Linked DNA regions of Lonchura striata. The protein of the gene in region 1 interacts with the protein of each later gene in a pairwise test. Links are inferred from orthologs where the notes say so. Each region holds a gene or a part of one and is shown on either strand. Other genes may lie near its edges.

The links.
Region 2: the proteins of CSTPP1 (region 1) and RAB29 interact in a two-hybrid assay, tested with the Homo sapiens proteins (2 studies listed by BioGRID and IntAct). The two-hybrid records come from large-scale screens. The link is inferred for Lonchura striata from reciprocal best matches to the Homo sapiens genes CSTPP1 and RAB29.

Annotation. Positions count from the first base shown.
Region 1 is NC_134608.1:38,958,516-38,965,596, reverse strand, and holds the start of CSTPP1 (centriolar satellite-associated tubulin polyglutamylase complex regulator 1), read right to left. Parts: upstream 3,018-7,081; 5' UTR 2,946-3,017; coding exon 2,900-2,945; intron 1-2,899. UniProt on the Homo sapiens protein: Regulator of the tubulin polyglutamylase complex (TPGC) that controls cytoskeletal organization, nuclear shape, and cilium disassembly by balancing microtubule and actin assembly.
Region 2 is NC_134632.1:2,615,768-2,623,685, reverse strand, and holds the start of RAB29 (ras-related protein Rab-7L1), read right to left. Parts: upstream 3,012-7,918; 5' UTR 2,968-3,011; coding exon 2,844-2,967; intron 1-2,843. Other genes in the region: SLC41A1 (solute carrier family 41 member 1), read right to left, coding at 7,727-7,912. UniProt on the Homo sapiens protein: The small GTPases Rab are key regulators in vesicle trafficking. Essential for maintaining the integrity of the endosome-trans-Golgi network structure.

The sequences.
Region 1 (7,081 bases):
ACAATACCCTAAGTGCTCCACTGCCTGTTATAAATAACTGAGCAATCACCAGTTATTAAACCATAAGGAGGAAGCCAAGAAAAAGTCTCTCAAATATGCCTCATTTTGCCTACTGTAGGTCCAGTCTCATCCATCAAATGAGAAACAGATTATCATCGCTATACCCAAACAATAAATGCTGTTTATTCAGTGAAAATACTGTTTATAATGTCATGCTTGTAACAACATCATCTTCACTATAGCATTTCTGCCAACTCTGTAGACCTCATCTCCACTCCCATTCCCTAAATAATGGTTATCTCTTTTCTTCTACTTACTGTCTCATTGTGGCATGAGACATGTTGCCCTGATTTTCATATTCCAGGAACTCTGGCATAACAAAGCTTTGCAATTATTTTTCATCTAAAGTTAATACTTAATTCTCTCCCTGTTCATGTCTATTTTAACGCAAAACTGCTTTTATTTCCCTCTCAGCATTCTAGCTGGCTGTAGAAGAATTATCTCAAATAGAGCAGGGGCTGCGGGCTGTGTAGAATAACACAGCAAGTAGCACATTATGTTATTCTGGCTGCTCAATTTACGTGTTAGCCTGGTTTTGATAATGAGACAAGAGGAAGAAGGGTTTGGGTGAGTTACCCATCTGTGAGAGTCAGTACCTTAAGTGGCAAGCTAAGGCAAAGAACTTCAGAATGAAATTACAGAAAGTGAAATTTATCACAGCTCCTTACAACCCCACTTCAGATAACTGTATTAACAAGACCCTGAGGTGCACAACAGAACAATCCAAATAATGGTGATTTCAAAATGCCAATGTAGAAAACAGAAATGCAACTCAGAAAAACATGTGGGGAGGTGTGTTTGTTTGGGGTGGGAGAAGGGGGAGTTGGGGGTTGTTTTGGTTTGGTTTTTAACCATTTTCCTACTGCTAATCCACACTAAATTCTTTAGGATCTGTGAGCAGTTTGGCAAGTTACAAAGTCTCAGGAAGGCAAAAACACTGCTTTTGGTAACATTTATAGCTAATAAGAATATGTTTCCCCCTCTAATAGACGGCAGAAACTACAATCTAAATCAAAGATATACTAAGTAATGAACAGAAAAGACTCTTATAGAAGTCATTCTTCACCCAAATATGGTCACATGTCTTTTTCTAACCCCAGTGTCAGAATAATTTAGAAAGTTGTACAAAATGAAAAGGTAATTCCAAATCACCATGTGGAACAGAGATAAAAGGAGGCTTATTTAAGTGACTTGTAAAGCTGCTTGCACCTAACAATCTTGTACATCTAAGAAATCTCTCTTTTATATCTCATGTCTTGCTTTCAGATGTGCAACAGAAAACTGGTTTATTTTCACACTTTAAGTATTTTTAGTCTGCTTCCTAGATTGGTTTGAGTGATTCAATACTTATTGACAAGTTTCACACAATTAAAAGTGCCTATGTAATTAAAAACAATTACAAGAACCTGAAACCAAGCTGGTTCATTAAGGAAAATATATTTTGCAGTTTTCAACCTAGAGCCATTCTGGAAAAGGTATGAACTACTCTATTAGCATGTAGGTTAAAAATGCTGAAGTAGTGTGACAGAACAGCACAAACCCAAAGGGTGTGTGTCTAGTGTGTCTACATGGCACTATGATGCTGTTCTCAAACACCCAAAGCTCCACAACTGAAATCAGCAATAACAACTTCAGCAAGGTGAGGCCCATGAGTCACCCTGAATAGAGCAGTAAATAAACCTATTTCTTGAACTTCCTTGACACAGAACAGCATTGCAGTTATGCAGGTATGCACAAAGCACCCTAACAGCAGCCTAGCAGCTACAGAACACTGAGATTCTACTGTAAGATGACTTAGATCACTCCTTTGCATAAATGGTTAAACAGAAGTCTTCTAGTCTAGTACCCACGGCAAGACAGGTTTTCCATTTACAGCAGTGTTTCTGTACTCTTGTTCCATTTTTACTTACAGAAATGGCAAAATCATGATAGAACAAACAGCACAAAACAATCTGATCCATTTCTGACCTCCCTTGTACAAGAAAACCACAGAAAATTATGTATACCTTTATAAGAGTTATCGAACAGTCTCTTGGACCTAGGAAGTAATGGCTGCAGTTTCACTTCACAAACACTCTTGAACACAATCCAAATGCTTACTACTCGTAATTCATCTCCTTTTCAGCAATTAAATTAAGTCATATTGACTTTATTCCATCCTAATTATTTTTATTTGACACATTAACATCAAATCACTTTGCTCCTTAGTTTCCTGGAACATCAAGCCGTTACAGGCAGCTTAAAAAGGATGTAGTCTTCAAAGGAGTAGCTGCTTCACAGGTTAAAAGATTTTCATTTTATGTAGGGAAACATTGTCGACGCTACCTAATTTCAGAACAAAAGCTAACATTCGAACCAGCTCGCAACGTATCAGCGTCACTCCTTCCCATTGTTGGGAAACGAGCATAAAATAAGGATGCTCACATCGATCTGTGAGCAAAACAGGTTGGTAATGGGTGAAGTCTATCACAGAGAGGCTGGACACCGCTCACATCGCCAAAGCGGACAGTGGAGGAAGGAGGCGGCAGCTCAGCTCCGGCCGCGCTCTCCATCACCTCCGGGCACCGGAGGGATGCTCCCTGTGCCCGGAGGGCTCCGCAGCCCTCCCACCTCAGGGCCCACAACCCCGCTCTGTTACGGTCCGGGGCTGCTCGCCCCAGCCAAGGCGGACACGGAGCCGCTGCGAGCCCCCTCAGCCCGGCCCAGCCCGGGGCCGCTCGCCGCCGTCCCCGGAAAGGCCGGGCCGCGGCCACCCCGGCCCGCCGAGCCCTCCCCGAGCCGGGCCGCAGCACGGCAGGGAGAGAGAACCCTCGGGAAGCCTCCGCGCCGCGCTCCTCACCCAGGTACTCGGCGCCGGGCAGCGAGAGCCGCTCGGGGCTCAGCATCCTCCTCCCGCCGCTCCTTCCCGGCTTCCGCCCGTTTCCAAGGCGCCCGACGCTCCCGGCGCGGCTGGCGGTTCGCCCCGGCTGGGAACACGCCCCTCGCCGCCACAGTTCCGCGCCCACAGCCGCCGGCAGCCCCCTCGCCCGGGCCCTCGGGGGCTGGGCGAGGCCGGGAGGGAGCCGCGGGAGGGACGGTGCCTGGGGCCGGCGGCGGCGCCCGGAGCGGGGCTGCGCGGGCGCCGCGGTGCGCCATGCCCCGGGCGGCTGCTCCGCGGCCGAGGGACGCCTCGGAGAGGGGAGAGCGAGTGAGCAGGCTCCCCCGAAGAGCCCAAATTGCTAAAGCAGAGGCACGTGTTGTCTCATTTAGACAAGCTGCTAGGGGTTATTTAGGACTAGGGCTGTGGGGGGAAAACCTTGATTTGAAGGTGAATTGTAATAAGTTAAAATCATACAATATTCTGAGTTGGAAGAGACCCATCAGAATTGTCGAGTCTAGCTCCTGGCCCTGTGCAGGACACTCCAAAAATCACACCATGAGCCTGAGAGCATTGTTCAGATGCTGCTTGAACTCTGCCAGGCTTGCTGCTCTGACCACATCCTTGGGTTAATGATGTGTTGCAGCTGTGTTCCAGAGACCAATGACTGAAAGTGTGGCCAAGGAGATCCTTTAGGCTTGTGTCCTTCTGTCCATACTATCCCAGAACTGGAATTTCTGCATCCCTTGTGCTCAGGAGAGGTAGGTATGGGGAGCCTCATGAATTGTTGCTTCTGTAGATTCAAGCTGAAATGAGCAGAAAAGTCCTGAGTCACAGGGCTCTTTCCTTTCTTGCCTGGGAGCTTGTCTGGGAATGGCCATTGTATCAGGGATGTAGGAGTAGCAGAGCTCTTCATGTGGCTGGAAGCAAGCCTGTTGGACTCCTCTTTCACAAAAGCTGATGTGGCAAAAATTCCCAAAATACTTTGCAGTTTCTTTCATCAGCATTAGAAGAAATAACAGCCCAGGATGTAATCCTGGAAGTATTACCAAAAAAACCAACCAAGCAACCAGACAAAAAAGGACTGCAGGTGTTGTCCGTGTTTTTAATGACAAATGCAAAACAGAAAGTAACATTTGTACGTGCATATGATCTGCCTTTATTCCACTAGAGGAAAATGCTGAGGCATTGGCAACTCAATTTTAATCTATATTTAAAGGACGGAAACCTTTTAAAAGAGCAAACAAGATGCTATAACTTAAATGTTAATATCCCACTTAAGATTGCCTGGATCACTCCTTTGTCTTTTGTTCTGTCTTTAAAAGCATATAGCTTAGATATAAATATTTCAAAGATGAGCAGAGAGAATAGCTTAGGGAGCAGACAATGAGACACTCCAGCATGAAGAATGATTGAAAAAATGTAAGATTGTCTTAAAGAGGATACTCATGAAATTATGTTACCTAAAATTATTTGTACTACAATGAAACTCATTCAAAACTCCAGTTTGCTAAGTTATGGCGATAAATTTAAATATGGGATTTTTTTAGTGATAGATACAATTAGCTCACAGCATACATTGATACAAGATATTTTTGAGCCCAGAAATTCAGCAGAATTTAGAAAGGAACTATATTCAAGCAGAATGAGAAAACACAGGATTATGTTGTTACACACATAAGCAGTGTCACCGGTGTTTAAAAACCTCTTCTGTAATGCTGGTCAGCTGAGCTGGTAGGAGTCTTCTACAGGTTGTGTACTGTTTTCTTTTTGTTGTTTAAACCATTTCTGTAAACCAGAGTTTAGCTTTGATCAGTATCTAGAGCACTTATTTACAAGAGGCCAATAAAGTCCAGTTTTGAATACTACATATTCTGACATCTCTCTGGTTTTTCCTTGGGGTGGTCCCTCCCCTCCTCTCCTCTTCTCCCCTCTCCTCCCCTCCTCCTCTCCCCTCCCCTCTCCTTTTTTCTCACTTGGTCTCTATGGGTTAGACTTTGTTATTTCTTCAGACCCTAAGGGAAACCTTTTGGACACTGGTCCCAGTTGCAGTTTTAATAACAATAAGTTTCAGTAGTAATGGTGCTTGACTGTTAACAACTTCAAGAAAATTTTATAAAAACAAGATGTCATTTCTGAAGCTATTTATAGACTTTCCTGTTTACTATTATTTCTCCTTTGGCTTGCCAGAGCCTGGATTAGGTGATATAACAGATCAGCAGCATTTTCTTGTTCCCTCACTCTCATGACCTGAAAAGGGAGAAATGCTGCCAGCCTGTCCATAGGTGTTAAGGTTGTTTTACCAACTTGAATTTAGAACCCTAGACTAGTGCATTTTAATAAATTGAGAAGGCTTTTCTCGGCCACTGGAAACCATGTGGAGGTTTAATAGCTGCCCCCAGAGGGGCACATCTAACAAGAGCTTAATGTTCTTTTGGACCCAGCTGGAAGAATGATGGAGAAGAAAATTTCCTGTCACAGCCTCTTGGTAGATTATCAGAGGTACAGATCTCACTTCAGGGCAAGCCTATGGAGCACACTTTTACTGTCTACCCTGGGAATCATGGTGGTGCTTAACATCTCGTAGCTAAAATTGCTGCATTTTCTTTACCAGGGACATTTGGGTATCCAGATCGGTCTTTCAAGGAAGATAAGTTGGATTACATTGGTACATTTTGTGCACACCCTCTTTCAGAGGTAACGTGATCTTGATCTGATTTAGCTTAATTCACTTTGAAGTGTGGTTTAAGTACAGTTTCAGAAATCATGTTTAGTAAACTGTTAGTTATGTAAGAGACCATGTGACCACAAGTTTTAAAATAGTTAGTGGTGTAATTTAAATTACATGATGAAATAAAATGTCTTTATTATGTTAAGATGCATGGACTGAAAATCTTTCCTGTGTAAGTTTTGTAAGTGTTTTTCAGCAACTTAGCTAAAGTCAGATTTCTGGTTTTCTCCAGAAACACATACTTTGCCCCCACTATATTAATTGCTTAGCTTACTCTCAGCCGATTTTATGTTCATCTTCCTGAATTATACTATCAATGTGGAACTGAAATATTTTCCTTTTATTAACAAAGTTATCCTGAGAAACAGCTCCTCTTTCAGAGAGTGTATTATATAGAATAATAAACAGGACTAGATAGCAAGAAAAAAATTCCAGAGGAAATGCCTTGTTTTAAACAGCTTGCGTACCTTTCACCGGCTTCTTTAACTTTTCTTGGAATTAAATGTTTCATTTGCTTAGAATTTTAACAATTATTACTACAGTAGTTAAAATACAGTCTATTAGGTGTATTAGAGGAAACAACCTTTTTTTCCTTCAAGTGACTGATGGAAATGCTGTTGCTACAATGTACAAAGAACTAAGCTGTGGGCAGTCTTCAGTATTGTTTCATCTGACTGTGAAATCAATGTAAGACAGTTTCATAGAAACACTAGGAAAATGTCTCTAGCCTTTCTTGTTTATCCTGTTTTAAAACATAGTTAGCTAAGAGCCCCTCTTGTGCAGAACTCAGCTTTTTTGATTTTGATAGTGCTTTGTGTTCTTTGAGGCTTCTCATGTATTTTCCAGATGAGCTTTTCCTTGTACATAATAATTAATAAAATTGCAGGTGTTGTAACAAAAAGACACATGAAAAACAAATTATACTGTGAGGAGAAAAGCATTGAGTTAAATAACTGTCAATCTTTATTGATAATCTATTATTTTGGGCACAGTAGCAGAGATAAGTTTTGAGAAGAGATCTGAAGAAATGGAGAATAAGAATTTCACATGCTATTATTTATGTAAATGATGGAAATCTTGTAAGTGAAATTAGAATTCTATTTTGTAAGTAATTTTAAAAATCAATGGCACTAAAGCTGGATGATTCATATATGAGTCAGTTGCAAACCCATAAAATCTCTCATTAAATTTTTGATTTAATAATTATTTATATGGATTGTGACCAAACTCTCTAAACACATACACTAAAAATAAGATTATCTTAAATAAAATGGTCAGCCAAAACCACAATGAAATTATGTAATGAAATCCATGGTTTTATATTGTTGGTTCCTCAGGAGTCATTTACAAAAAAAAGATCCAGTACTTGTAGTGCTTCTCATAATCTGAGCCTTCTCAAACTGAATGAACTGTTTATCTGGTTCACCTGTAGC
Region 2 (7,918 bases), on another chromosome or scaffold:
GGAAAGTTGTCCGTGCTCAAGGGGTGACAGCAGCTGTAAGGTCCCTGCCAGGCTGGATCCCCCCATATTTGCTGTCACCAGTGAGTCAAAAGGGGAAGCTCTGTGCTGTTCTCAGATCCTGATGTGTCGGGGTTTCAACCTGGCAGCCAGACCTAGCTGGGCTGGGGCTGACCAAAACCAGGAACAAAGTACAAAAAGAAAAGCCCCAGCCACCAGTCTGCAGCATTTCCTGCTGGGCACAGCCTGGAGCTCTGTGCCTCTCCAGGGTTTTCACCTCTAATCCATCCCCTCTTGGGTCAGGAATAAGAAGATTTAAACAGCTGAGCTCAACACCCCCGATTTTGGGTCCTGGGGGAGGTTTCCTGGGTAAACCCTTGGCAGCTCCTGCTCCTTCCAGGTTATTCATTTACACAAAGAACCAAAATCCTGCTCAGCCCCATTCCCAGCCTCTTCCTCACAGAGCTTCCCAAGAGCTGCTGAGCCCTCAGCAGCGAGGCCAGGCTGTTAAATTAATGCCAAATTAATTGGGTAGGGGCACCCCAAATGGGCCTGGCACAAGGACAGAAACTCCTGAAGACTTCAGGACTGTTTAATTAATGCCAGACCAGCACTGCTGCTGGTTTTACTGGGATAAACTAAGCCTAGAACCTCAGCCTATCCATCTTACAGCTCCTGGGGTGGTTATTCCAGAGGGTGGGGGCACCCCAAATGAGTCTGGCACAAGGACAAATGATCCTGAGGACTTCAGGGTGTGTTTAATTAATGCCAAACCAGCGCTGTTGCTGGTTTTACTAGGATAAGATAAACCTATAACCTCAGACTATTTTACAGCTCCTGGGGTGGTTATTCCAGAGGGTGGGAGAAGGATGGGGAACCTGAAATGAGTCTGGCAGAAGGACAAATACTCCTGAGGACTTCAGGGTGTGTTTAATTAATGCCAGACCAGCACTGTTGCTGGTTTTACTGGGATAAACTGAGCCTGGAACCTCAGCCTATCCATCTTACAGCTCCTGGGGTGGTTATTCCAGGAGGTGGGAGAAGGATGGGGCATCCAAATGATTCTGGCACAAGGACAGAAACTCCTGAAGACTTCAGGACTGTTTAATTAATGCCAGACCAGCACTGCTGCTGGTTTTACTGGGATAAACTAAGCCTAGAACCTCAGCCTATCCATCTTACAGCTCCTGGGGTGGTTATTCCAGAGGGTGGGGGCAACCCAAATGAGTCTGGAACAAGTACAAAGGATCCTGAGGACTTCAGGGTGTGTTTAATTAATGCCAAACCAGCGCTGTTGCTGGTTTTACTAGGATAAGATAAACCTATAACCTCAGACTATCTATTTGACAGCTCCTGGGGTGGTTATTCCAGAGGGTGGGAGAAGGATGGGGAACCCCAAATGAGTCTGGCAGAAGGACAAATGCTCCTGAGGCCTTCAGGGTTGTTTAATTAATGCCAGACCAGCACTGTTGCTGGTTGTACTGGGATAAACTGAATTTATAACCTCAGCCTATCCATCTTACAGCTCCTGGAGTGGTTATTCCAGAGGGTGGGAGAAGGATGGGGAACCCGAAATGAGCCTGGCACAAGGACAAATGCTCCTGAGGCCTTCAGGGTGTGTTTAATTAATGCCAGACCAGCACTGCTGCTGGTTTTACTGGGATAAACTGAGCCTGGAACCTCAGCCTATCCATCTTACAGCTCCTGGAGTGGTTATTCCAAGAGGTAGGGGCATCCCCAAATGAGCCTGGTAGGACAAATGCTCCTGAGGATTTCAGGGTGTGTTTAATTAATGCCAAACCAGCGCTGTTGCTGGTTTTACTAGGATAAGATAAACCTATAACCTCAGACTATCTATTTTACAGCTCCTGGGGTGGTTATTCCAGAGGGTGGGAGAAGGATGGGGAACCCGAAATGAGCCTGGCACAAGGACAGAAGCTCCTGAGGACTTCAGGGCTGTTCAATTAATGCCAAACCAGTGCTGCTGCTGGTTTTACTGGGATAAGCTGAGCCTGGAACCTCAGCCTATCCATCTTACAGCTCCTGGGGTGGTTATTCCAGAGGGTGGGAGAAGGATGGGGCACCCCAAGTGAGCCGGGCAGAGCTCCAGCATCCCCCGGGGGCTCGGCGGAGAAGGTCTGCCAGCTAACACCCCACAAAGCCCGGCGACAGGCGGCTGCTCCCACCCCGGAATCCCAAGCCACCGCCGGGGGAGCGGGGCGCGGTGCCGCGGGACGAGGGCGCGGAGCGCTCCGGGCTGGGGATGCGCACCGGGACGGGCGCGGCGCCGGAGCCCGGGAACCGCCGGGAACCGCCGGGAATCGCCGGGAACACCCGGGAAACACCCGGGAAAACCCTGGGAACACCCGGGAAACACCCGGGAAAACCCTGGGAACCCCCGGGAAACACCCGGGAATCGCCGGGAACACCCGGGAAACACCCCGGGAAAATCCCGGGAACCCCCGGGAACACCCCGGGAACCCCCCGGGAAACATCCCCGGGAATCACCCCGCGAAACACCCCGGGAGCACCCCCGGGAAAACCCCGGGAACCCCCGGGAACGGCCGGAAACCCCCGGGAACACCCGGGAATCGCCGGGAACACCCGGGAACCGCCGGAAACACCCCAGGAAACACCCGGGAACCCCCCGGGAAAACCTCGGGAACCCCCAGGGAAAACCCCGGGAACCGCCGGGAACCCCCCGGGAAAAACCCGGGAACGGCCGGGAACCCCCCGGGAAAACCTCGGGAACCCCCCGGGAAAAACCCGGGAACCGCCGGGAACCCCCCGGGAACACCCCGGGAACCCCCCGGGAAGCGCCGGAGCCCGGGGAGGGTCGGGCTCACCTCCCACGGTGGATTTGTAGTGCCGGTTGAAGCTGTCGTTGGCGTAGCGCTGCACCAGCGAGGTCTTGCCCACCGTGGCGTCGCCCACCACCAGCACCTTGAACATCCGATCGCGCTGCCCCATCCCGGCCCGGCCCGGCCCGGCCCCGTCATGTGAGGCTCGGCCGGGGCGGCGCCCGAGCCGCCCGCGGTGCCGGGATCTGTAGTTCGCTGCCTTGAGCCGGAGCCAGCGTCAGATCCGGCCCCGCGCAGCGCCTGTGCCAGCTGGTCCTGCTGCGAGCACCCCCAGATCCTGCTCTGAGCACCCCCAAATACTGCTGCGAGCACCCCCAAATACTGCTGCGAGCACCCCCAAATACTGCTGCGAGCATCCCCAGATCCTGCTCTGAGCACCCCCAGATCCTGCTCTGAGCACCCCCAAATACTGCTGTGAGCACCCCCAGATCCTGCTGTGAGCGCCCCCAGATCCTGCTGTGAGCATCCCCAAATACTGCTGTGAGCACCCCCAGATCCTGCTGTGAGCACCCCCAAATCCTGCTGTGAGCAGCCCCAAATCCTGCTCTGAGCACCCCCAGATCCTGCTGTGAGCAGCCCCAAATACTGCTGTGAGCATCCCCAAATACTGCTGCGAGCACCCCCAGATCCTGCTGTGAGCATCCCCAAATACTGCTGTGAGCACCCCCAAATCCTGCTGCGAGCACCCCCAAATACTGCTGCGAGCATCCCCAGATCCTGCTGTGAGCACCCCCAGATCCTGCTGTGAGCACCCCCAGATCCTGCTCTGAGCACCCCCAGATCCTGCTGTGAGCACCCCCAAATCCTGCTGTGAGCACCCCCAAATCCTGCTGTGAGCATCCCCAAATCCTGCTGTGAGCAGCCCCAAATCCTGCTCTGAGCACCCCCAAATCCTGCTCTGTGCATCCCCAGATCTGCTCTGAGCACCCCCAGGTCCTGCTGGGAGCACCCCCAGCCCCATGCACCCCTGTTCCCCCAGACCTTGCTCTGTGCACCCCCAGATCCTGCCCTGCACATCCTCTGAATCCCCAGATCCAGCCTGTGCACCCCAAATTCCAGCCCCAGCCCTGTGCACCCCCAAACTCTGCCATGCACACTCTCTGTATCCCCAAATCCAGCCCTAAAACCCCAAACCCCACCCTGCACATCCTCTGAATCCCCAGATCCAGCCCTGTGCACCCCAAATTCCAGCCCCAGACACCTCTGCACCCCCAAATCCAGCCCTGCACCCCCAGATCCAGCCCTGCACATCCTCTGCAACCCCAAATTCACCCCTGTGCTCCCCAAATTCCTGCCCCAGGCACCCCAGGACCCCAGGCCACGCTCCCTGCACCCCACAAACGTGCACAAACACCTCTCCCAACAGATTTCCATTTTGAAACGAGGTTCCCTGTTGCTGGGATGTGGGAAATGACTTTGTAGAGTTTTTAGGGTGTGACAGAAAGTTTGTAAAGCATGTATTTGTATGCAAACTCTGAGACAGGAAATGCTGATTTGGAAATGTTATGGAATAGCACAGATGTTGCTGAGACAGAAATTGAGCTAGAAAAAAGTTTCAAAAGATGATTTTGTAAATAAGATTAGGTACTTTGGAGAAATAGAACTATGAAAGGTACAATGTAATAAGATTTATGAAGAGCAATTTTAGATAAATAACTTTAAAGTATCTACAGCATAGTGTAACGAAATGTTAATAAACTACAAAAACACTTATAGTGTTTTGTAATTAAGAAATAGCTTCTAATTGTAACAGCATAAATCACAACATTTACATTGTCTCACCTTTCTCACAAGACTAAAAATAAAATAAAAGCTTTGAAAACACCTCTCAGTTACCCCATCTCTAAGTCAGGAAAAGGTTTTATCCAACCCTGCCAGCAGAAACACCTGGATTGCCAGGAGAACACCTGGATTGCCAAAGAAACACCTGGACTGCCAGCAGAACACCTGGATTGCCAGAAACACCTGGATTGACAGGAGGAACACCTGGACTGCCAGCAGAACACCTGGACTGCCAGGAGGAACACCTGGATTGTCAAAGAAACACCTGGATTGCCAGGAGGAACACCTGGATTGTCAAAGAAACACCTGGACTGCCAGGAGGAACACCTGGATTGTCAAAGAAACACCTGGATTGCCAGGAGGAACACCTGGATTCCTGCCAGGACCCTCCAGGAGCTGCCAGGACCTGACCAGGGGCAGGGCCGAGGTCACCTGGCACTCACACCAATCCCACCTTGCTCCATGCCCAGCAATTTATTTGATTTTCTCCTATCAAAAGAGCTTCAGCCTGGGCTCAATAAGCTTCAAAACCTGAGAGGGGCCTTCAGCCTGAAGGAGAAAACAAAAGAAACCCCACCACAGTCCACATAAATAAATGTCATCTTTATTTAACCAAATATAATTTATCCATTAGGTCGACATCTGTCAGTTATAGGAACTATAAATAATTAAGACAGTCTTTTTCCTTTAATAAAAGAGTAAACCAGGATTTTCATCTGCAGGCAGCTGTAGAGTAGGCATGCATTGGAGTGCAACCAGTGGGAAGAGGTTTGTTTTTTGTTGTTTTTTTAATCAATATTCCTCATTTTAAATTAAATTCTTCCCTGACCATTCCCCAAGCACACCTTTGACCATATTTAATGTACAGACCCTCCCAGCCCCAGCAGCCCCCACCATGAGAGGCAGATTCCTCCTCTAGGGAATCCTTTCCTGGGGGATTAAGTGGTGATGTGACACCAGACAGGCCAGCAGAGCTGCCCTCTGTATCCATGAAAGCTGAAGTGTTAATGGGAGGAAGTCTAGCATTTATTCCTCAACATCAGGCAGAGAAATCAGGTGAGCAGCTGAGAATATTCCAGGAAATACTCCAGAAAATATTACAGAGAATGCTCCAGAAGTCCCTGGGCTGAGAGTTCAGCACAGCAGGAACAAAGTTTGTTTTGTGGTTGTTTTTTTTTTTTTTTTTCCCTTTGAGCACAGCTTTGGCCAAAGGAGATCTGAGAAATGTCCCCAGAGGGGACAGAGGAGGGTCAGAGCTGCTCCCACCCGGGACACAGAGCACAGGAGGAGGGGGACTGAGCCTGAGGGTGGATTAACAAGGGGAAAAAGGGGGAAATCATCCCAAAATACAACACCTGCTCTTCTGAGGGGCTGAGAAGGAGCAGCCTGGAGCCCAGCCCTGCCTCCTGCACAGCACCAGCAGCAGGGAAGGGTCTGCAGAGCTCCAGCGAGGGCTGGAGCAGCCAGGAGCCCTGCTCTGGCTCCACCTGCCCCGTGATCTCCAGAACTTCATCCTGAGCCTCTTTTCCAACTCTTCTCTGGAGCTGGAAAAGAACTTCATCCAGAACTTCATCCTGACCTTTTCCAACTCGTCTCTGGAGCTGGAAAAGAACTTCATCCAAACTTCATCCTGAGCCTTTTCCAACTCATCTCTGGAGCTGAAAAAGAACTTAGTCCAAACTTCATCCTGACCCTCTCTAACTCGTTTCTGGAGCTGGAAAAGAACTTCATCCAAACTTCATCCCGACCCTCTTTTCCAACTCGTCTCTGGAGCGAGGCCCAGCTCTGCACGCAGCTCCTGGCCTGGCACAGTGAGCCTGGACTAACTTTGGTCTTGGTTTGCCCCTAGCTCTGGTTTTTGCTGCCCTGCCAGCGTGGCCTAAGGGGAAGAGCAGGAATTCCAGGCAGCCCCGAGGAGAAGAGCACAGGAACAGGAGGGGAAGCAGCAGAGGAGGGAACCCTGCACTGCCAGGGCTCAGCCGGGCCCCCCCAGCTGGGCTGAGCCCCCATCCCAGCTCCACACACGGGCAGGGGGGTTCCTGTGCCACAGAGCTGCCCCAACAGCCAGGGCTCCACTCATCCTGCATGCCCAGCTGTTTTGCAGCTGGCACGGAAATCCCACAGACACCAGGAGCAAAATGCTCCTGCCCAGGGGAACAGCCCAGGGATGGCAGGATGGAAAAATTGTGTGTCCAGGTGTCCAGGAAGAGTTCCCCAGGGATCCCTTCCTGCCTGCAAGGGCCCCGTCAGCAGCCAAAAGGAAAGCTGGGCACAGAACCAGGAGCTGTTTGTCCATCCATGCGCCCCTCTGGGTGCACTGAGGGAAAGGGAGCAGCACAAGGAGGGCTCCAGCAGGTCCTGCAGAGGGTCCCTGGCAGTGGGGATGGTGTGGGCAGAGCTCCCAGCCCCTCTGGGAGAAGCTCAGAGCAGCTGAGCTGGGCTCACCAAGGCAGAAGCAGCGTGGGTGGCAAAAGGGAGCCTGGAGCTGCCAGCAGAGCCCAGCCAGGGGCTCTCAGATCAGCTCACTCACATTCCTGGGGTGAACACAGGAGCCTTCCTCATCACCCTCCTCATAGACACTCCCCATTTTTGGATGTGGGCCCAGGCTGGAGCTTCAGAGAGCCAAGGCAGGGCTACCCCATGCCCTGAGCCATGAGGTTGCACTTGGCTGGAAGGTGCCAGCTCAGCTGAACAAACCTGAGCTCGACCTGCAGGGTTTAAAACGCTTATGAAGCGAAAAAAGCAGCCCTGCACCTCGAGGGAGGGGGCAGGGGGGGCTCCCTGCATGATCCGACTGAGCAGGAACTTCACTGGAACCTTGGTTCAGACATGACTGCTACGAAAATTGCACTTAGTGATTGTCTCGTTACACTTTTTGTTTGTTTGTTTGTCCTTCCTAAAACTAGATCGATTTTTCTGTACAAACTTGACTTGAAATATAAACCACGTAAAATTCCCATTGAAAATAATGAGAATCCGGTATCAAAGGTGAAATCTTCCAGGATGGGGGGGAGGTGGCAGGAGGGGGAAGCAAAGAAACAACAAATGGAAGGAGGAGAGCTGCGGGAAGGGAGGAGCAGGGAGATTTAATCCCCAACATCGGAGTCCCGGTCCCCGATGAGCCAGAGCACGTGGAAGCTGAGGGCCAGGAGCCCTGTCCCAATGAGGTCCCCCAGAGCTGTCAGGTACGGGATGGAGAAGTTGTCGGGGTCCAGGTGCCTGCCCCACATCCAGTGCACCATCCAGTCAGCGATGTAGAGCAGGATCAGCACCTGGAA